3 linked regions of the Canis lupus familiaris genome follow. The protein of the gene in region 3 interacts with the protein of the main gene of each other region in a biochemical or structural test. Links are inferred from orthologs where the notes say so. Each region holds a gene or a part of one and is shown on either strand. Other genes may lie near its edges.

Evidence for each region.
Region 1: the proteins of GIPC1 (region 3) and RGS19 form a complex in vitro, tested with the Homo sapiens proteins (2 studies listed by BioGRID). The link is inferred for Canis lupus familiaris from reciprocal best matches to the Homo sapiens genes GIPC1 and RGS19.
Region 2: the proteins of GIPC1 (region 3) and LRP2 form a complex in vitro, tested with the Homo sapiens proteins (2 studies listed by BioGRID). The link is inferred for Canis lupus familiaris from reciprocal best matches to the Homo sapiens genes GIPC1 and LRP2.

The regions. Positions count from the first base shown.
Region 1 is NC_049245.1:48,360,921-48,367,486, forward strand, and holds the start of RGS19 (regulator of G-protein signaling 19), read right to left. Parts: upstream 4,304-6,566; 5' UTR 4,250-4,303; intron 3,924-4,249; exon of another isoform or gene 3,804-3,923; coding exon of another isoform or gene 3,801-3,803; intron 3,478-3,800; exon of another isoform or gene 1,557-3,477; 5' UTR 1,489-1,556; coding exon 1,459-1,488; intron 1,285-1,458; coding exon 1,163-1,284; intron 243-1,162; coding exon 168-242; intron 91-167; coding exon 1-90. UniProt on the Homo sapiens protein: Inhibits signal transduction by increasing the GTPase activity of G protein alpha subunits thereby driving them into their inactive GDP-bound form. Binds to G-alpha subfamily 1 members, with the order G(i)a3 > G(i)a1 > G(o)a >> G(z)a/G(i)a2.
Region 2 is NC_049257.1:14,404,456-14,411,034, reverse strand, and holds the start of LRP2 (low-density lipoprotein receptor-related protein 2), read left to right. Parts: upstream 1-2,276; 5' UTR 2,277-2,318; coding exon 2,319-2,397; intron 2,398-6,579. UniProt on the Homo sapiens protein: Multiligand endocytic receptor. Acts together with CUBN to mediate endocytosis of high-density lipoproteins. Mediates receptor-mediated uptake of polybasic drugs such as aprotinin, aminoglycosides and polymyxin B.
Region 3 is NC_049241.1:48,541,822-48,548,217, reverse strand, and holds the start of GIPC1 (PDZ domain-containing protein GIPC1), read right to left. Parts: upstream 4,087-6,396; 5' UTR 3,993-4,086; intron 3,489-3,992; 5' UTR 3,434-3,488; intron 1,791-3,433; exon of another isoform or gene 1,742-1,790; 5' UTR 1,648-1,741; intron 1-1,647. UniProt on the Homo sapiens protein: May be involved in G protein-linked signaling.

The sequences.
Region 1 (6,566 bases), on a different chromosome or scaffold from region 3:
TCCCGGAACACGCCGCGGCCCGCCGGGCTGTGCATCAGCTTGTCGAACGACTGCGCCCAGCTCCGCACCTCCTCGGGGCTTGGCGTGGCGCTGTGGGCAGTCCCGTGGGGAGTCAGGCCCGCGCCCCGCCCGCGCCCCCCCCCCCCGCCCGCGCCGGCCGCACCTACCACGCCTCACAGCTGGGCAGGGGCTGCAGCTTGTTGTCCCGGGAGGCCCGCCACGCACGCCGCCGCTCCTCGTTCCTGGCGCAGACGGAAGGTGGCACGGCCTGCCCGGCGCACCCGGCCTCGGCCCACGCGTGTGCACGCACGGGCCCAGACGCGGGGCGTGAGGGCGCGGGCCGGGCCGCAGCCGGGCAGCCCCCCACCCCCACCCCTGGGACCCAGGCTGCACTCCAGCCCCACCCCTTCCTCTGTCTCCCTGGCCGTCCCCCGCCCCGCGCCCCCAGAGGCGCTGCTCCTGCTGCAGGAAAGCCCCGGCCGGCCCTGCCTGCGTCCGTCCCTCCCCGGGGTCACGACCTCTCAACCCTAGCTCCCACACAGGCCTCCGTTCCTCTCCTACCCCACCCGCTGGACCCCACAGCCGAGTCCTCTGCGAGGCCCGATTCACGACCCCGTCCCCGCTCAGGCCTGGGTGCTCACGGCTCAGCGGGTCCCCCTCCAGGTCCCCACAGCACCCAAGTTGGGCCAGGCCTCTGTGGCACGTGCACGCCCCCGACAGCCCTCCACAGGCCACAGAGCCGGTGACCGTGGGGCCCACCCTAGGGAGCTGCTCGGGACGCTCTCCCCCTCGCCCCCAGGCCGGGGCCCTGCTCGGTGTCCCCCAAGGGCTCCTTGCTCCGTAGGCCCCCGGGGCCAGCTCCGGCTGAGCACACAGGCGGTGGCCTGGCCAGGTGTGCACACGACACGCCCTTGGGGGAGCCGCCGGGCACGAAGGCCTACACGGTGTCGGGGCAGTGGCCACAGTCAGCAGGCCCGGCAGCCCCTGCGTGAGAGCCGTGGGCAGCAGAGGCGTCCTGCCCTCGGGTGGCCCCTGGGAAGGCACCGGAGGGTCTGCGGGCAGGACGCTGGGCCCCAGGTGTGTACCCCTCCCCTCCCCCATCCCCACGTACCAGGTGTGTACACCCCCGCCCCCCCCCCCCCCCCCCGCCGTCCCCACGTACCAGGAGCAGCTGCAACAGCAACACCAGCACAAGCAGCAGGGGTTGCGGCTGGGGGCAGCCGGGGGGGCCGCGTCATGACTGGACATCGAGGGGGGCCGGCCTGCCTCCTCTGGCCCTGCGTGCTGGCGACACGGGGGCCTCCTCAGCTCCAGCCCAGAACCTGGGGCCTGCACACCTCCCCCCGACTCCCCTGGTGTCACCCTTCCGGCCTCCCAGGCAGTCGAGGGTCCCCCAACTCCTCGTCCCCCCGCCCCGGTTCCCACAAGGGGGCAGAGGCAGGGGTGGAGGTGGTGCACCTGCTTCTCAGCCTCATGCGGGGTGGGCATGGGTGGGTGGAGGAGGTCGCCCGGGCTCCGTGGTGCTGGCTCCGGGACCCTCACCACAGCCTGGGGGTCTGAGAAGAGAGGTGGGGGTTCCCGCTGAGAACCTGAGACGACAGTCTCTACTTGCCTCTCCCTCCGCCCAGGAGCCCGAGGGGCCTGCTCCCCTGCCCCCACCTGCACCGGGACTGCGAGCAAGGGCAGGGGCGGTGAGGAGGAGCCAGACAAGATCTCCACAGGAGGTTCTGGGACACCCCCGTTTGCTCGGTCCCTGGGAAGCCGGAAGTCTGGGTTCCTCTTTCTTGGTTTCCGGCTCCTGGCCCCTCCCAAGGGGCCTGGGGGGCCCCAAGAGTCTGGGGCTATCAGCCTAATGCTCCCTCCATTCTGGGTTTTCTGTAGGGAGTGGGCGAGGTGGGGAGGGCTTGCCCCCCCCCAGGTGCCCAGATCTGCCCTCAGCCCCGGAGGGTTCCAGCCTGTTCGCAGCTGCCCAGCCTGCAGCCTGCGTGTGGGGCAGGACTTGAGGGTCTGGGGGTGTGGGGAATGCAGCAGGGCACAGTGAGGAGGGCCAGGCGCCTCGTGGGGGATGCAGGGCTCCTGAGGCCCAGACGCTGCCCCTGGCACCCCAACCCCCAGCGGGCACCTTACCACACCCAGGGCCTCCCAGCCTCCCTTCCCCCAGCCCCACCAGGCGGTGGAAGCCAGTGCAGCCTGGGGTGCCAGTCAGGGAGGGGAGCGGGGAGGAGGGCAGCAATGGGTCGGGGTGTCCAGCTCCCAGGGTCAAGGTGCGGGATCCCCAGACGGGGTGCGGGTCGGCATTGTTTACAATGCCTGTGCCCACGTTTCAAGGTGCAGGCGTGCAGGGGGCACTGGGCCCTGAAGCCCCCAGCGGGGGTGAGGAGCCCGAGCAGCCCCCCAGCCCCCCCCTTCCGTCCCCAAGGCCAACCACGGATCCCAGAGTCCATGCGGATCCCAGAGTCCACACCTGGGTGGCCGATCAGTGCCCCAGGGGCAGTCTGAATGCTTTCCCACCACAGCACCTGCCTCTGCCTGCCCTGGCCGGGGTGAGGACCCCAGGGCCCGGCTGCACCCCCGCACAGCCTTTGTGACCCCCCAGGCCTGCCCCCACCCCCGTCCCGGTGGCCAGCAGGCTCAGGACTTGCTTTCACTTCGTTTTCTCATGTAATTATCACATCACCCCTGGGCCTGTGGCCTTTCAACCCCCGCCTGGCCCACGTGGCCTGCTGGCTGCTGGGGTCTCGCAGGTGGGAAGGAGGGAGCGGCGGGGATGCCGGGGGCGCCGGGAGCCGTGCTCAGAGGTGCAGGGCCTGACTCAGGCACGCTCAGGGCACCCTTGCCTCTGGGGCCTGGGCACGCAGAGGCCCTGCCGTGACCCAGATCTAGGGCAGAGTGTGGGGTCCCCTGGGCTGAGGGCCCTGGCCAGCTGCCTGCTTCCCCTGAAATCATGGACATGGACGGGGAACCCTCAAACTGGGCCCCAGCCCGCCTTTCCTTCAGGGGTCTAGCTTGTAGGGAAGGGAAGGGGTGTGGCAACCCCCGAGGTCTGGTAGCCAGGCAGAGAACTGCTCTTCCTCCTCCGCACCCCTACCCGCTGCGAGTGGGGGCAGGGCCCCATCCCCCTCCACTCCCTGGCACCCCAAGGCTCTGCTCTGAACTGGAGGAGGGGCCAGGTCTGAGGGCGCCCACGTGCTGGGGGTCCTGGAGTGGATGCCTACACTGGCCCGGGGCTGGCGGGGTCTCCTGTTCACCCGCTGTCTCCTGAGGTCGCCCGGGGTGTGCACAGGGCTCCTGCCCCTCCGCCTGGCAGCTGGAAAGGGGCTCGGTCCCCTTTCCCAGCCCTTGGGCTCTGGCCCCCAAGTCTGGGATGGGGGAGGCTGGACGGGCAGCGAGCCTGGCCTCTGGGGACCGAGGCTCCCTTGGGAGCTGCTGCTACTCTGCTCCACAGAAGGAAAAAGAACGTCCCTGAGCCCGCCCAGTCCAAAAAAAGAATAAGAAAATGTGACAATCCCAGAAAAAAATGCCATAACCTTTAGGCGGAGGGTTGACAGGGGCTCCTTCCCCTGCTTCTGGCGCCCCTGCCTCCCCTCGGCCGCCCCCCGCCCCGCCCCCGCCCCGAGCGATGGGTGGGGCGGCCCCGGCCTGGGCCCGACCTCTGTGGCCCGGGGACCCTCGCCCGCCCCCAGGGCCGCGGTGCCGCCGACCCGTCTCCCTCCTCCTCCCGCCGCTGCGGGGTCTGCCCGGGGGGCGCGGCTCCGACTCGGGCCCGACGCCCCCGGGGCCTGGCCGCGCGCCCCACTCACCATCGGCCCAGGGGCGAGGCGCGGGCGGGAGGGCCGGTTCCCGCGGGGCCCCACCCGCTGCCGAAGGGCGCGCTGCAGCGACCCGGGTCCGCGGGCGGGAGGCCCTCCGCGGGGTGTGGAGGCGGCGGGAGCCCCGGTCAGCCCGGCCAGCCCCGAGCGAGCGGCTGCCAGGCGCGGGGCGGGGGCGCGCAGGGCGTCCCGCCGGGCCCTCCCCACCGGGCCGGGGGCGGGAGGCGCGGAAACCGGGGCTCTTCCGGCCCCCCCTTGAGCAATCACTTCCCCGGGCTCCGAGCTGCAGAAAGGGGAACCGGTGGCGGCGCCCCCTCCCCCCGCGCGGGGCACCGGCTCCGCTCCCGCCGCCGCCCGGGTCCACGTGGGCCCGCGGTCCCGGCGGCGCGGTCCGGGCTCCAGCCGCCCCCCCCGGCCGCCGACCCCCCGCGCGCACTCACCGGCCGCGCTCCCGGCCCCGCCGCCGCCGCAGCCCCGCGCACAGGTCCGGCCGCCGGTCGGGGAGGGGGCGCGGGCCGCAGTGCGCAGGCGCGGGCCGCACTTCCCCAAAGCGCGGGGCCGGGACTTCCTCGCGCGGGGAGGCGTCCGGCCCGCCCCGCCCCGCGCACCCCCGCCCCGCCCCCGCCCCGGGCTCCGCGGCCTCCCGAGGAGGCGGGTCCCCGCACCTGCAGCCCCGGGCGCTCCCGCGGGGGCCCGCGCCCGCCCTCCCGCCGCCGCGCGCCCCAGGGGCCCTCGGCCCTCCCCGGCCCCGGTGGTCGGCGCGCCCCGGCCCTGTCGAGGGGCCCGGCCGCCCCCGCCCCCGCCCCCGCCCCCGCCCCCGCGCCCAGGCCCCGCCGCTGACCCGGTCACTAAGCACAGCGCTCCGGGACCCCCACGCGGAGGGCCGACCTCCCACGCGCCTCGCTCGGCGGTGATGGGTGCCCCAGAGGTGGGCCCGGCTGCGCGCACGGACCGCGGGAGCCCGGGCTGGAGGTGCGCCGGGGGGGGGGGGGGGGGGGGTGCCGGGATGCTGGGGTGCCGGGGTGCTGGGGTGCCGAGGTGCTAGGATGCCAGGGTGCTGGGATGCCAGGGTGCTGGGATGCCGGGATGTTGGGGTGCCAGGATGCTGGGGTGCCGGGGTGCTGGGATGCCGGGGTGCTGGAATGCCGCGGAGCTGGGATGCCGGGATGCCGGGGTGCCAGGGTGCCAGGATGCTGGGGTGCCGGGGTGCTGGGGTGCCGAGGTGCTAGGATGCCAGGGTGCTGGGATGCTGGGGTGCCGAGGTGCTAGGATGCCAGGGTACTGGGATGCCAGGGTGCTGGGATGCCAGGGTGCTGGGATGCCGGGATGTTGGGGTGCCGGGATGCTGGGGTGCCGGGGTGCTGGGATGCCGGGGTGCCGGGATGCCGGGGTGCTGGAATGCCGCGGAGCTGGGATGCCGGGATGCCGGGGTGCCGGGGTGCTGGGGTGCCGAGGTGCTAGGATGCCAGGGTACTGGGATGCCGGGATGCAGGGTACTGGGATGTCGGGATGCCAGGGTACTGGGATGCTGGGGTGCCGGGATGCCAGGGTGCTGGGATGCCGGGATGCCGGGGTGCCGGGATGCCAGGGTGCTGGGATGCTGGGGTGCCGGGGTGCTGGGGTGCCGAGGTGCTAGGATGCCAGGGTGCTGGGATGCCAGGGTGCTGGGGTGCCGGGGTGCTGGGATGCCGGGGTGCTGGGATGCCAGGGTGCCAGAGTGGTGGGATGCCGGGGTGCTGGGGTGCTGGGATGCTGGGGTGCCGGGATGCCGGGATGCTGGGGTGCCGGAATGCCAGATGCCAGGTTTTTGGGATGCTGGGGTGCCAGGGTGGTGGGATGCTGGGGTGCTGGGATGCCAGATGCCGGGATTCCGGGATGCTGGGATGCTGGGTTGCCAGGATTCCGGGATGCTGGAGTGCTGAGATGCCGGGGTGCTGGCATACTGGGGTGCCGGGGTGCCGGGATGCCAGGGTGCTGGGATGCTGGGATGCCGGGGTACTGGGGTCCTGGAGTGCTGCAATGCTGGAGTGCTGGTATGCTGGGGTTCTGGGGTGCCAGGATGCCGGGGTGCTGCGATGCCAGGATGCTGGGATGCTGAGGTGCTGGGGTGCCAGGATGCTGGACGCCGGGGTGTTGGGATACTGGAGTGCCAGGATGGTGGGATGCCAGGGTGTTGGGATGCCAGGGTGCCCAGATGCTGGGGTGCCCAGATGCCGAGATGCTGGGGTGTTGTGGTACTGAGGTACTGAGATGCTGGGGTGCCGGGATGCTAAGATGCTGTGATGCTGGGGTGCCAGGATGTTGGGGTGCTGGGATGCCGGGATGTTGGGGTGCCGGGATGCCGGGGTGCTGGGGTGCCAGGATGCTGGGATGTTGGGGTGCCGGGGTGCTGGTGTGCTGGTGTGCCGGGATGCTGGGGTGCTGGGATGCTGGGGTGCTGGGGTGCCAGGGTGCTGGGATGCTGGGGTGCTGGGATGCCGGGGTACTGGGGTGCTGGGATGCTGGGGTGCCGGGATGCCAGATGCCAGGTTTCTGGGATGCTGGGTTGCCAGGGTGGTGGGATGCCGGGGTGGTGGGATGCCGGGGTGCTGGGATGCTGGGGTGGTGGGATGCTGGGGTGCCGGGATGCTAGGGTGATGGGGTGCTGGGATGCCGGGATGCCAGGGTGCTGGGATCCTGGGGTGCCTGGATGCTGCGATGCCGGGGTGCTGGGATGCTGGAGTGCTGAGATGTCGGGGTGCTGGGATGCCGGGGTGC
Region 2 (6,579 bases), on a different chromosome or scaffold from region 3:
CTTCTGGTGGAAAAGAGCGTGGATGTGTGAATTTGCATCCACTTGGTGGACCGTGCTCGGTCAGTGGCCCCGCATTCCCATCCCCGCCCTCTCTCTGCTCCCCTCCCTCGCGTTCTCGCTCCATTCTCTGCGCCCCCCCCCCCACCCGCGTTATTCTGGGATTAACGGCGGGGTCGGCCTCAGACACAGGCGCAGCTGGCTCCTACGGTCAGCCCGAGCCCTGCTGTGCAACCACGTCAGGAATTCCAGCAAGTTGGCAACACTGGAGCACAAAGACAGTAACAATGGGGAAAACCCTTCAGTGCAGAAAGGAATGTTCGGAGCCCTGGCGGCCGCAGTGAAAGGACACACACTCACACACTCACACATGCACTCGCATGCACGCGCGCCCTCCCGCCCCCCACACGCCCACGCGCGCCCTGGGCGCCCCCAGCCCCTGGCGCCCGCCGCAGCTCTCCGTGGCCCGCGGTGCGGGGACGCTCAGGGACTGCAGCGCGGCCCGGGCGGGCGTCGGGGCCGCCTGACCCCGGCGGTCTCGTACCACCGCCCCGGGCGCCCGGAACCGGCATAAATCACCCGCGGAGACCAAGTGCCGCCCGCCGCATCCTCCTCCCCTCCCGGACCCCCGCGCCCCCCGGGCCCCCAGTCCTGCGTCCTCCTCGGCGCGGAGCCAAGTATCGTTCCGGTGACTCGGGGCGGAGCAGGGACCTCTGGGTTGCCCAGTCCCGGCATCTCGGAGAGAGAGCGCGAGCGGCTGCCGCAGCCCTGCTCTCCCTCGGTCCGGGTTTCCTCTCTCCGCGTCTGTTTGTCCCCCTTTTTGTCTTTCTAAAGTAACACCTCGGTTCCCCCTCCGTCTTCCCTGCAAAGTGCAGCAGTCGCCGGAGCCCAAGGAGGTGCGCGGTCCGTGCTGCCAGGGGCCAGCAGAGCCCAGACGCCGGGGCTCCGGGGACGGGGGTGGCTGACGCCGGCAGGCTCTCGGCCCCGGAGAGGCGAGGCGGCGGCGCCCTGCCCGGGTCTCTAAGTCAGCGCGGGGCCCCGGGTGGAGGGACCGGGCTCCTGGGGCCCCGCCGCCGGGCTAATGCAGAGCCCAGCACTGGGGGGTGGGGCGCGCCCCGGCCCCTTCCCACAGACAGGGATCCCCGGGCCAGGGAGTCAGTGGCCTCCCCCTTTTCCCCTGTCGGCCCTGGTGTCACGCCCCGCGCGAGGACGAGGCTCCGACGGTGAGGTTCGCTCCGAGGGCTCTTGGGGGCCGGAGCCCCCGGGCTGTGTCCAACGCTGCCTTCTAGGAAGGAGCGGCAGGGCTTTCTCAACGCCCTCGTATAAAGAGGCGCCAGTACGATCGCAAGACGTTCCTTCTTTGCAATTTTGCTCCAAATGCCAGAGATTTGTAAGAAACGCGATCTGGCGGCGACACGTGTGTCTCTTCTGCTTAAGACAACGAAACAAGGATCCCACCCTCCCCCCAACGTCGATTTACGCCTCTCTGTAAAAAACAGTGAACACCCCATCTCGGGGTCTCCACTCTATGGGGGGGGGACCGGGGTGTCCACGAAGCCTAGGGATTTCAGGCTAGAGAATGGTCACAAGTCCCCCCCCGCCCCGCAGGCTCTTAGTCCCTCTAATTCCGCCCCCCCCCCTTCCTCCTCTTATTTTTCTTCCTTTTACGGGCTGCCTCGCGGACCCCTTCGCGGGGAGGCTGGGGCGCCGCTTGGCCGTGCAAGTGTCGGGCGAGCGCTCGCCCGTGAGCGTGAGACTGCGAGGGGTGTGCAGACGCTGCGAGCGCAACTGAAGTGTGCGTGCACGTGTCGGTGTTTGTGTGAGTGTGGGATGCGCGCACGCGCGCGCGTGTGTGTGCGGCCTCGGAATGTGCGTGCCGGCACGCCAGCGGGCGTGCGAGAGGGACTGGCAGGTGGCGTGACCGTGAGGGGAGTGCGCGACTGTGTGTGTGACGCTGTGTGAGGACGTGTGCGAGTGTGAGCGCACGTGTGTTCGAGTCCCTCGCGCTGCCGGCGCCGCGAAGCGCAGGGGGCGGGCCGGGCGGCAGGGGGCCTGCCCCGCCGGATTCCCGCATGCTAGTTCCGGGGCGGCCGGGTCTCCGGGGCTTTCTGCGCGGTCCGGAGGGTGGGGACTGGCGCGGGTAGAAAACGGGATGCCCCGGGCGCCGGGCCCGGCTTTCCGCCGCTAGGAGCCGGCCGAGGCGCAGGCCTCCGGGAGCGCTCGCGGGCAGAGGCGCGGCGGCTGCGGCGGCGGCTGCGGCGGGCTCCGCGCGCCCACCTCCCGGGGAAGGAACGGCGAGGCCGGGCCCGGACGGCGCGGGGATGGAGCGCGGGGCGCGGGCCGTGGCGTGCACGCTGCTGCTGGCCCTAGCCGCCTGCCTGGCGCCGGCCCGTGGCCAAGGTAAGCGCCTGCCCGCCCGAGTTCCGCGCACAGCCCGGCACCACCCCGGCGGCGGCGGCGGCGGCCCGGGTCCGCGAGCGCACTTGCGGGGACCGCGGCCGGGCGGGGGCGGGGGCGGGGGCGGGGGCCGGGGCAGGGCGGCGGCCCCCGGGCGGCTCCCGCCGGGGCGCTCAGGTTGCTCCGCCCGGGGCCAGCGGGAGCAGCCCTCCTCCGCCCGCCCGCCCGCCCGGCATCCGAGCGGCCGCAAACCTGAGAAAGTAGCCCGGCCGGTTTCGGTGACAGCGCACCCCGCGGGGACCCCGTCTTTGTTCCGGCGGGACTTTGCCCCCGACCGTGTCGGGAGCCCCTGTGCAGCTGGAGCCCGGGGGCTGGGGTCCCCCCGGCCGGCGCGCAGTGGGCTGGGCGAGCGCGGAGGCTCCCGGCGGGGGGCGCGGGGCGGGGGGTCCCGACCCCCGCGGCGCTGCCCGGCGCGCCCCCCGCCACCTGCCGCGCTCCCCCGCGGGAGCAGCCCCCCTCCCCGGCGAGGCGAGGCGAGGCGAGGCGAGGTCCCGCGGCCACCCTCCGGGGAGCGCGTCTCCTTACAGATGCTTTACGAGCCCAGATGAGGCCGGGAGGCGGGATTGGCGCCGAGAGCCGCACCGCCGCTGGGGCGTTTTCTGGAGGGGTTTCCCTTTTCAGCCGGGGGTGGGGGGGCCGGGGGTGGGGGGGCTTTTGTGTTGCTGAATGAGGCCGCGTCTGCGCGCCCGGAGTTTTCAGGGCTCGAATGGAGGAAGTTTCTGGTAGGAAGCCCTTGAGAAAGCCTCTCAAGTTGTCAGAGGTTTACGAGTCTACAGGAACGGGCCGAGCAAAGAAAGGGAGGAAGACGTGGAGGGGGTAAAAGGGAGTAAAGGGGGAGAGAGAAGAGGAGTAGGAGCGAGCCGGGAGAGGGGACGGGAGCGGCAGGGCGGCGCGCTCCTGGGGGGCGGGGGCGGGGGCGGCGGCGGCCCGGGATGAATGGGAAGCGCGCGGAGGCGGCGGGGGCGGCGAGCTGGCTGCGGGCTTCGCGTTGCTAGGTAGCGGCCCCGAGCTGCGTGTGACCGACCACCAGACAGACAGAGCGGACGCCGCTGCCTGCGCGGGGGCTAATCTGTCTGTGCGGATGGGAGCGCTCTCCCCCCACCCCGTCCCCCCTCCTGCTCCTTCCTTCCCGTCCGACAACTTAATTGCCCTACAATGAAAATGAAACCCCTATTGTGGTAGGATTAGCCCAAGCAATAAATTGATTTCCCTGGATCACATATTGGGGTTGATGGGTGGGGACTGTAGAACCCGCCCCCCCCACCCCCCCATCTACGGCGGAGAGAGGGGAAAGCCTGTGGATGGGCCGTGGCTTGTATTCAGATGGTTAATCTGCTTTCTTTCCTCAATTCTTAGCGTAAGCTCCTTAGAGGGAATCAACTAAGTAATTATACAGCAACTCCTAGCAGTACCCATTTCAGACTTCCTGGGAAGAAGTTTGGAAACGCCAACAAACCCCACTGGTCTTGTAAAAAAAAAAAAAAAAAGATCTTTGGAAAGGGAGGGGAGGCAGGGGGAGACCGTTAATAATTCTTGCTTTGAACACCTTTTTTTTCTCAGTGTTGGTAACACAGAGAGAGGATTTATTATTACTGCGGAGGCTTTGCCGCCGCGCTTCGGGTGATCTACATCCTACGTCCTAAATATAGCCATAGGATTTACTATATGTTCCTGTCAGTGCCTGGCAAGGGGAAATCTTGTCCGCATTCATCTGGGATACATCTGGATTGTCCCCATAGAATGAAAACTGACATTTTCTCCCCTGGATTGGTGGTTTAGTCACCAAATAAACTGCACTCACTCTTCCGTCTTCTATAATAATATGTAATAATAATATGTGCGGTAAGAGGTGCTTATCAGACACTTCTGTTTGCGGCAGGTGCTGTTTTAAGTGCTTTATACTTACTAGTCTTTATAATACCACTTTGATGGTAAGTGTTCTTACTCTCCGCATTTTACTGATGGGAAGTAATGTGCCCTGGGTCATACTGCTAGAAAATGGCAAAGCTGGGAGGCTAATCCAAGGGATTCTGAGTCCAGAGGCTATAATTTAACCGCCCTGGTAGGTGACTCGCTCCTCTATCTGCCCGTCTTTTTTCTTTTGTACTAAAAATGTCACGCTCCCTGGGTTACTACCCATGCATGAGGTTACTAAAGAAGCTGAGTGGCATTTTACAATCTTTGCCACAAAAGGTAAAAATCTACCTGCTGGGCCATAACTCTGGATATTTTTTTTTTTTTTTCAGAAATTCTTTTCAGGTTTCTGTCACCTGACCCCAAGTATCTATCACCTGACCCCAAGTATCCTCACTCTCAGTCTTCCTACTTGTCCCCTGGATAGCCTCAGCCTGGAAGGTTAAGGAGATTTCTAGATTCTTGTTGTATTGACTTATCCTGTTGTAAAGTGTGAGGACACTGTCCTTATTTTAGCATACGTTTTAGGTAAGATCTTCCTGCAGAGTTTGCATCATTAGAAATTGGAACAGAGCTCTGGGTATTTTATGGTTAGTCTTAAAAAAATTATAGCATATCCATAGCTAAAATTATTTGTATTTTCTTCATATTTTGTATAATGCTTTTAAGAAAAATTGGGAGAGCCTGAACTCTGGAGTCAAGCGGTCAGGGTTCCAGCAATGACTTTACCACTTTCCAGCTGTGTCACCCTGGGGAAGTCACTAAACTTTCATGGCTCAGATTGGTTATCTGCAAAATTGATGTGATAACCGGAGAATTTGTTCCATGGCATTTTATTAAAACATAGAGATAAAAGTGCTTAACATGTAAGGCCTCTAGACAGTGATCATAAATGGCAGCAACTATTACATTGACCGACACTGAAGGTAACACTGTTTTTTTTTTTTTTTTGCTTACTATTCATATTTCTAATTTCTAAGTGCACATAAAGAAGTCTTAGGCATTTTTCACTAACATTTCTTTGAGGAATTCCCAGATCCCAGAATATGACTGGAAGTTTTTTTGAGAGAATGGTATCGATTTAAACAAAGTTCTAGTCTGTCCTCCAATAGAAGCTTGGTTATGCCTTTCGTAGTGTCAGCTTTATGACAATTACATCTTCAGGTAAAGTTTATATATTTAAAAGGATGATGGGGGGCAGCCTGGGTGGCTCAGTGGTTTAGCGCCGCCTTCAGCCCAGGGCGTGATCCTGGAAACCCAGGATTGAGTCCCATGTCGGGCTCCCTGCATGGAGCCTGCTTCTCCCTCTGCCTGTGTCTCTGCCTCTCTCTCTCTCTCTCTCTGTTTCTCATGAATAAATAAATAAAATCTTAAAAAAAAAAAAAAAAAAAGGATGATGGGGCCAGTAACAAGCATGCAACATTTTGGTCCTATTACACTCTGATACTGCCCCTGCTGGTCTTATTTCACAGCAGTTGGCTTCTTTTTCTCTGCTTGAAGTTCTTCCTAGCCAGTTTTTTGTAGGGCTTTTGCTCAAACTCCTTTCAATCTTGTGCCTATTCTGTTTTAATGGAAACTTAGGCTCTTACAGATGGAGGCAATCTTAGCTATCAGCTGGTCTACTTGCATTATTTTATAGATAAGCAACTAAACCCTGGAGGAGAGGAGAGGGGATTGAAAGGAGTGAAAGGGGGGAGGTGAAGCCCTTTTCCTAAGGTCATGTGGCCAGAGGTTAGAGCTAAGATCTAAACCCCATCTCCTCTTTGTGTCTTTCTAATTGATCATTTTAAGATACACTTACTTAGAATGTCCTCAGCCTGGTTGGTTGAGGAGGCCTCTAGATAGTTTTTCTGTTGATCCTGACCTGTCATATGAGGCCAACTATGATGAAAAGATCACCTTGGCCAATCCTCTTAAAAAATTGGATAGGTCACATGTCTCAGGTTTAAGAAGAATCTCAAGTTTAAGAGGATAGGTTAATACAGCCATGTACCATGTGCTTTCAGTTTGGTCCAGAATTTATGCCATATCAGTGCTCCAATTTTCAAAGATCATACTTCTGGATCTGTTTTTCAAAATCTTGGGCCATCAAAGCACATTCCTAAGGTCTCCGGGTTTCATAGTACAGACTGCTACGTGAATAGGTTTCTAGTCTTAATTCAAAGTAATTGCTAGGTCATCGTTAATCATTGTCCATGCCGTCTAAGCAGG
Region 3 (6,396 bases):
CCCACAGGCCCCAAGAGATCTGCCCCCATGGCCTCCCTGCCCTCACCTTCACCCACTCTCCGCCTTGCTCATCCCTCTGAGGCACACTCAGCCTCCTAGGCTCAGTGCTTCTGCGTTTGACTCTGCCTTCTGGCATCCACACAACTCATCCTCGCATCTCTTTCAATGCAATGGGATATATATTTCATCCACTATTCTTGTCTGCTGTTTTCCGAAAGGCAAGGAATTTTGTCTGCCTTATGCATCCTTATACTCTTAGCACAGAGAACACTGCCTGGTGCATAGCAGGTGCTCAATAAATACTTGTTGAATGAACGTATAGATGAATGATCCTAATATTCATCAGCCCATCAGTCCCTGTGCCTGGCTTTGGGGAGACAGAAGGACCCAGGCTATAGTCCCTGCCCCAAGGGGGTCTTGTCTCACCAGCAAAAGAGCAAGCGCCCCCCTGTGGTCCTCATCCCTTGCTTCCCAGCATAGTGCTGGGGACAGGGTAGGTGCTCCTTCTAGCCACACTGATTTCTCCCTCACCTTTCATCATGGTTTTGTTTTCACTCCCTTCATAATCAAGGATGCTGAACAACTTTTTTCTTTTTCCATGGGGGCAGGGAAAGGTTGGGGTGGTGGTGGAGGAGAACCTTAAGCAGGCTCTACAACCGGTGTGGAGCCTGATGTGGGGCTTGATCTCACAACCCTGAGATCATGACCCGAGCTGAAATCAAGAGTCAGACGCTTAACCAACTGAGCCACCCAGGCACTCCAGGCTTAACAGCTTTTTTTTTTAAAGATTGTATTTATTCATGAGAGACATACACAGAGAGAGGCAGAGACATAGGCAGAGGAAGAAGCAGACTCCCTGCGGGGAGCCTGATGCAGAACTTGATCCCTTGACCCCAGGATTATGCCCTGAGCCAAAGGCAGACGCTCAACCACTGAGTAATGCTTAACAACTTTTAAGACATTTATTAACTGCTTGGATTTGTCGTTTTGTGAATTGTCTAAGTCTTTGCCCATTTTTAAAAATTGCACAGTTTGTTTTTTATTGTAATGCCTATATCTTTTTCTTTTCTTTTTTTTTTTAAGATTTTATTTATTTATTCATGGGAGACACAGAGACAGAGAAAGGCAGAGACACAGGCAGAAGGAGAAGCAGGCTCCATGCGGGGAGCCCAATGTGGGACTCGATCCTGCGTCTCCAGGATCAAGCCCTGGGCTGAAGGTGGCGCTAAACTGCTGAGCCACTGGGCTGCCCTGCCTTTATCTTTTTCTTATTGATTTTTGGGAATTGTTTACATATTTGGGATACTAGTCTTTTATTGATTACTTCATCTAACCATAGCACACATCACACTAAGCATTCACCTAATATCTGATAAAAAACAAATTCTGAATGAATAAACCCATACTGCCCCCTCAGATTATTACAACACACTCAGTGATGCTTCAAACCAAACCAAACCAAACCCCTCATCATCACCTCCCCTGTTCTCCTCCTGCTGCCCCTCATACATCTTAGCGGGATGCTGAGAACATGAGTCTGGAACCTGGTTTCTCCACTTATTAGCTGTGTGACCTTGGGCAAGTATCTTAACTTCTCTGAGCTCCAAGGAGGGTGGCCTGGGTTCAAATCCCATCCTTGCCACTTACCAGCTGCGTGGTCGTGGGCAAGTGTCACTTCATGTGATGGAGCCTCAGTTTTCTCAGTCGAAAAATGGGTGGAATTCCTGTCTCTCTCCAGGTGCTTATGGGAATCCAAAGAGATTGTGCAGACAACCCGATTAGCATTTTGCCTGACATTCAATTTAAGAAAACTGTTACTAGTATTGTCATTATTATTATGGCCTCCTCCCCTGCCCACCCCACCCCCCCCCCCCCCACCGCCCAGGAACATCCCAGTCTGTGCTTCTGCTGTCTGCTGTCCGCGGAGGCCTAGTCTAGGTGGCCTCCTCCAGGCAGCCTCCCTGGCTTGCCCCAGCCTGCTGGAACTGCCCCTGTGGTCCAGACAGCTCAAGGCCCATGAACTTAATTACACATTATCCCGGCAGAACTCTTGTCTTTCAGTCCCAGGCTGCTATTTCACTTCGTGTCTCTATTTTAAAATGTAAACCAGATCACGTCACTCCCCGGCTTCCAATCTTACAGCGGTCTCCTACCTTTACAGAGGAAAAGCCCCAAACTCCTTAATATGAGCCACAGGCCCCTGCAGAACTGCCACTCTGGCGGCAGCTCGTGCCCCCACACACTATCCCAAGCTCCATCCAGCCTCAGAGTTTTTGCCCAGGCTGGGCCCCCTGCCTGACCTTTGCTGGGCCACCTTCTTTCTGTCATTTAGATCTTGTCTCCAAAGTCGCCTCCTCCAAAAGCCACCCCCTTTACCACAGATTCCACCCGGCCACCCCCCTCATATTTTATTCATAGCACACGCACTTACTACCATCCGCGGGTACTGTCTTTATCTACTTGTTAACTTGCTTGCTGCCCTTTTCCCCACTAGGACGGCGGCTCCCACAGAGCAGGGATTTTTGTCTTGTTTGCTATTATGCCCTCTGTGCCAAGGACAGTGCTTGGCCCATGGGAGGTGCTCAGTAAATGTTTGCAGAATGGACGGGTGTGCGTGCCTCGTGTCCTCATTCAGACTCCTCTCTGAGCCCTCCTATCCTCAGAACATGCCTGCTGTGGGGTTGCTAACTGACACTTCCTCCCCACATTCCCAGTGTCCCCTCAAACCTGAACATAGGGATGGTGGAAAAAGTGTCAGCCGGGGGTCCAAGCGCATTGGCTGGAATCCTAGCATCCCCACCCTCGCTTCCCTGGGAGGGGCCTGAAACTTAGCAACCCCACCACCAAGCAGAATCACAGTGAGGGCAGCAGGAAGTGGGGAGGGGAGTTCCTGGGAGTTGACAAAAGCTTGGGTGGGGGGAGAGACACCACACCCAACCTCCCCTTTCTAGTAGGATACTGCTTTGGAGGGGAGGGCGGGAGGCGGGAGGCAGGGAGGCGGGAGGCCTCTGATTCAGTCTTGAAAAACCGGCTCCCGGGTGTTTCCGGGGAGAACGCCTACTGCCTGGGCCTCAGCGCAGGCTTTCCAGAGGGGCCCAGTGGGCAAAGGACCCCAGCATCCAGGCCTCCTATGTCCCCTGCAGATGTCACTCTCTTCTTAGGACCTAGGTATTCAGGCAAGCCTTCCCAGGTCCGGGGAGGCAAGACAGGGTTGGTGTCCGGGGACCTCTTGGGGGGAAGCAAAGACCAGCAGGTGTGGCCCAGATACATGCATGGTTGGGGGATGCAGGCAGCAGCGGGCAGAGGAGCTGGTCGGGAACACCTGAGCCACGGAGCCACTGGGCCACTGATCCATGGAGCCATCTAGTCTAGCGGCTGAGACTCCAGTTCTGGACTCCGAAGCACGGGTTCGAGTTCCAGCCCTGCCACTTACTAGCTGTGTCACCTTGGGCAAGTCACTCCACTTCTCCGGGTCTGTTGCTTCACCTCTAAAAGAAGTAACAGCACCTTCCATGAGGTGTTTGGACGCAACGATGTGCATGGTAAATACCTGACACGGAAGCGTCCAGTCAGTGCTAGCCGGGGGTGATTTTTTCATGATTATTACCGGGACCTCAGTCCTCTCCAGGTCCCTCTCTCGGCCCTGGAGGGCCGCGTCGAGGCCAAGGTGGGACGAGGGAGGTGCCCGGGCAGGACTCAGAAATGCCGAGCCCGCCGGGACGGGGCTGTCCAGGGCAGTGCAGGGGGCAGGGTGGGCTGCCGACCCCATCTCAGAGGCGGGAGGTGTTTGACCCCGGCCCCCGGCGGGAAGATGGGCGCCTCCGGGGGAAGGGGCCTCAGGCATCCTGGGGCCCAACCTAGACCTCCAGCAGCGACCCCGGGGCCGTCCCCCCGCTACTCGCTCGATCCGCCGGATCCCCATGGGTCCGCGACCCCGCGGGCCCGCGCTGGGGTCCCCGGAGCGGCCGTGCCCCGCCCGCAGGGACACTCACCTGCGCCGCCGCCGCCGCCACCCGCGCGCTCCGGGCTCGGCCCTCCGCAAACTCCGGCCCGGGCCTCTCCCGCAGCCGCGGCCGGGGGGCGGGGCCAGCGCCCGCAGCGCGCCAATCAGGAGCGGCCGCCCGACGCCCGTGGCCAATCCGCGCCGCGCCGCCCAGCGCCGGGTGGGCCCGACGGAAGCATTCCAGAGGGATCCCTCCGCCTCGCCCGGCTCCTCCCGGCCCCCCCGCGCCGCGGCGCAGTGGACCTGCCCACCCTGCCGAAAGCCGCGGCAGGCTGTACCACCGCAGGGCGCGGAGGGGGGACCTGAGGCTGGGCCCCTGCCAATCGCGGGGAAGGAAGGAGGCGAGCAACCAATGGGGAGCTGGGGTCCCTGGCCCACGTGCTGCCGGCGGAGTGTCCGTCTGGGGTGTCCAGGGTGGTAAGGAGCGGGAGGGCCGGTCGTGGGAGTCAGGTGACGCGGGCCGAGTTTCGGGCAGAGGCTAACTCGCCACGTCCGGAAGAGCTGACCCTTTAGGAGACCTAGGAAGGGGCCGAGGGCAGCCCCCGATCCCAGTCCTCCTCCCTGTCTGCGCCTGCCCCAGCCTGGCCATCCTGTGAGCGGATAAAAAGGATGCATTCATTCCGGGCGGGCGAGCGGGCGGAGGAGCGAGATGAATAGGGAGGGTCCCGAGTGTCCCTGCTTCCTGGGGTGTACAATGGACAAGGGCATTTATTCATTCATTCATTCATTCCCTCACTCGTCAAATATTTCATGTGCCCCTGCTCCGTGCCAGGCTCTGTCCTACGTCTGCAGCTACTAAAGCGAATAAGCTGAATGTGCTTCTGGTGGAGGTAACAGCTCGTGCAGAAGGCCTGAAAGCTGGACTGAGAGATACAACACATTTTGGGAGAGTGCAATATCCTAGGAGCTAGCAAAACTGTGTGAAAGGGTGCATGGAAGGAAGACAAGATCGAGATGGACTGCTCGCTTGTTGGTTAAATCAGTGAATATTTACTGAACACATAATATGTGCTAGGTTGTAAAGGGTCCCCAACCATTCCGAGCCTCTGCCCTTTCATGAGGCTGTCTCCTCCATCTAAGTGCCCCCTCACCCCTGCTGGGGTCCTGAGACTGGCAGTGAGCAGCCTCTCAGAGCACTTGTGTGAATGAGAGGACCAGGTGACCTCGCCATCACCAGGTTTGGTGAGGCCCCGAGACTGGGATGTCTCAGGCAAGGGTAGGTCCAAGAAACAAAGACACAGATGCACCTTGTACAGACCAGGATGCTCAGTTCCCAGGACAGATGAGCTATCCTTGCTCTACTTCAAAGCCAGCCTCTGGGGCAGTTGGGGCTGGACCAGGAGCTTGCTGTGTGTTCTGGGAATTGTAGTTCTTGGAGGCCTCTAACAGCTGCAATTCTGCTCAGGCTTCATTGAATGACTGGGTCTCTGCAGTCCCCAGGGTGAGCTGTTGTGCATCCCAGCCCCACCGGGGCCTACAGAGAGGCAAACTGAAAGAGGAGAGCGGGGCCGGCTTAGCTGCTGAGGGCTGCGAGTCTGGCCCCACCCAGCTGGCAAACGCTGCCACTGTTGATGCAACAGGCACCGCTATTGTCCTTCTCTTCCTGTTCTGCTGACCTCTGCCATCCCCACTGAGTGATCAGTTGCTATGGCTGGGCCTCTGTGGGACTGTACCCACTGCCCTGCTTGTGCCTGGCATCTGAGCTGCCCTCTACAAACCCGAAGAGGACAATATGTGGGGCCATGGGGACAGCAGAGTCCTGAGCAGAATCCACCTGAATCCACCTGTTGACTGATGAGGAAGTGCCTAAGGAGGGGTGAGGGTGTTGCCCAAGGGTACAGAGCAAGCCACTCTTTATCCAATTTTATAGTTCAAAGGGCTAGTAGGCCCAGAAGCTGGGGAGCTCAGACTTCAGTGTTACTACCTCTGTCCCCTTTGGAAAAAAACATCTGGAATGCCAGCTAATACACGCAGAAGGAAAGACTGAGTTGGAAAATCCCCATTTTGCAGCCAGTAGAGAAATAATTAATGCAGGCGAGGATCCTCAGTGGAGGAAGTAGATATTCACACAATCTCAAAGGACCAGCCTGCAAATTACTTGTTAATTACAGTGGGGGAAAGATACCGTGGAAAAAGCACCAGGGAGAAACCGGGCAGTCACCACTTTAACCAAGTGACCAAAAGTAACATCACCAGTGATGGGACAAAGTTAACCTCGTATGCCCCTTCCTGTGATGTGCTGAGGACACATCACCTGTAGAGTACTTGGTCCTGTCCAGAGTGCTTAACCTGGATCTAATCATGAGGACACAACCAGATACTTCCAAATGAAGGGACTCTGCCAATGTACAAACAAACAACAACAACAACAAAAAAAACCCCAAAACCAAAAA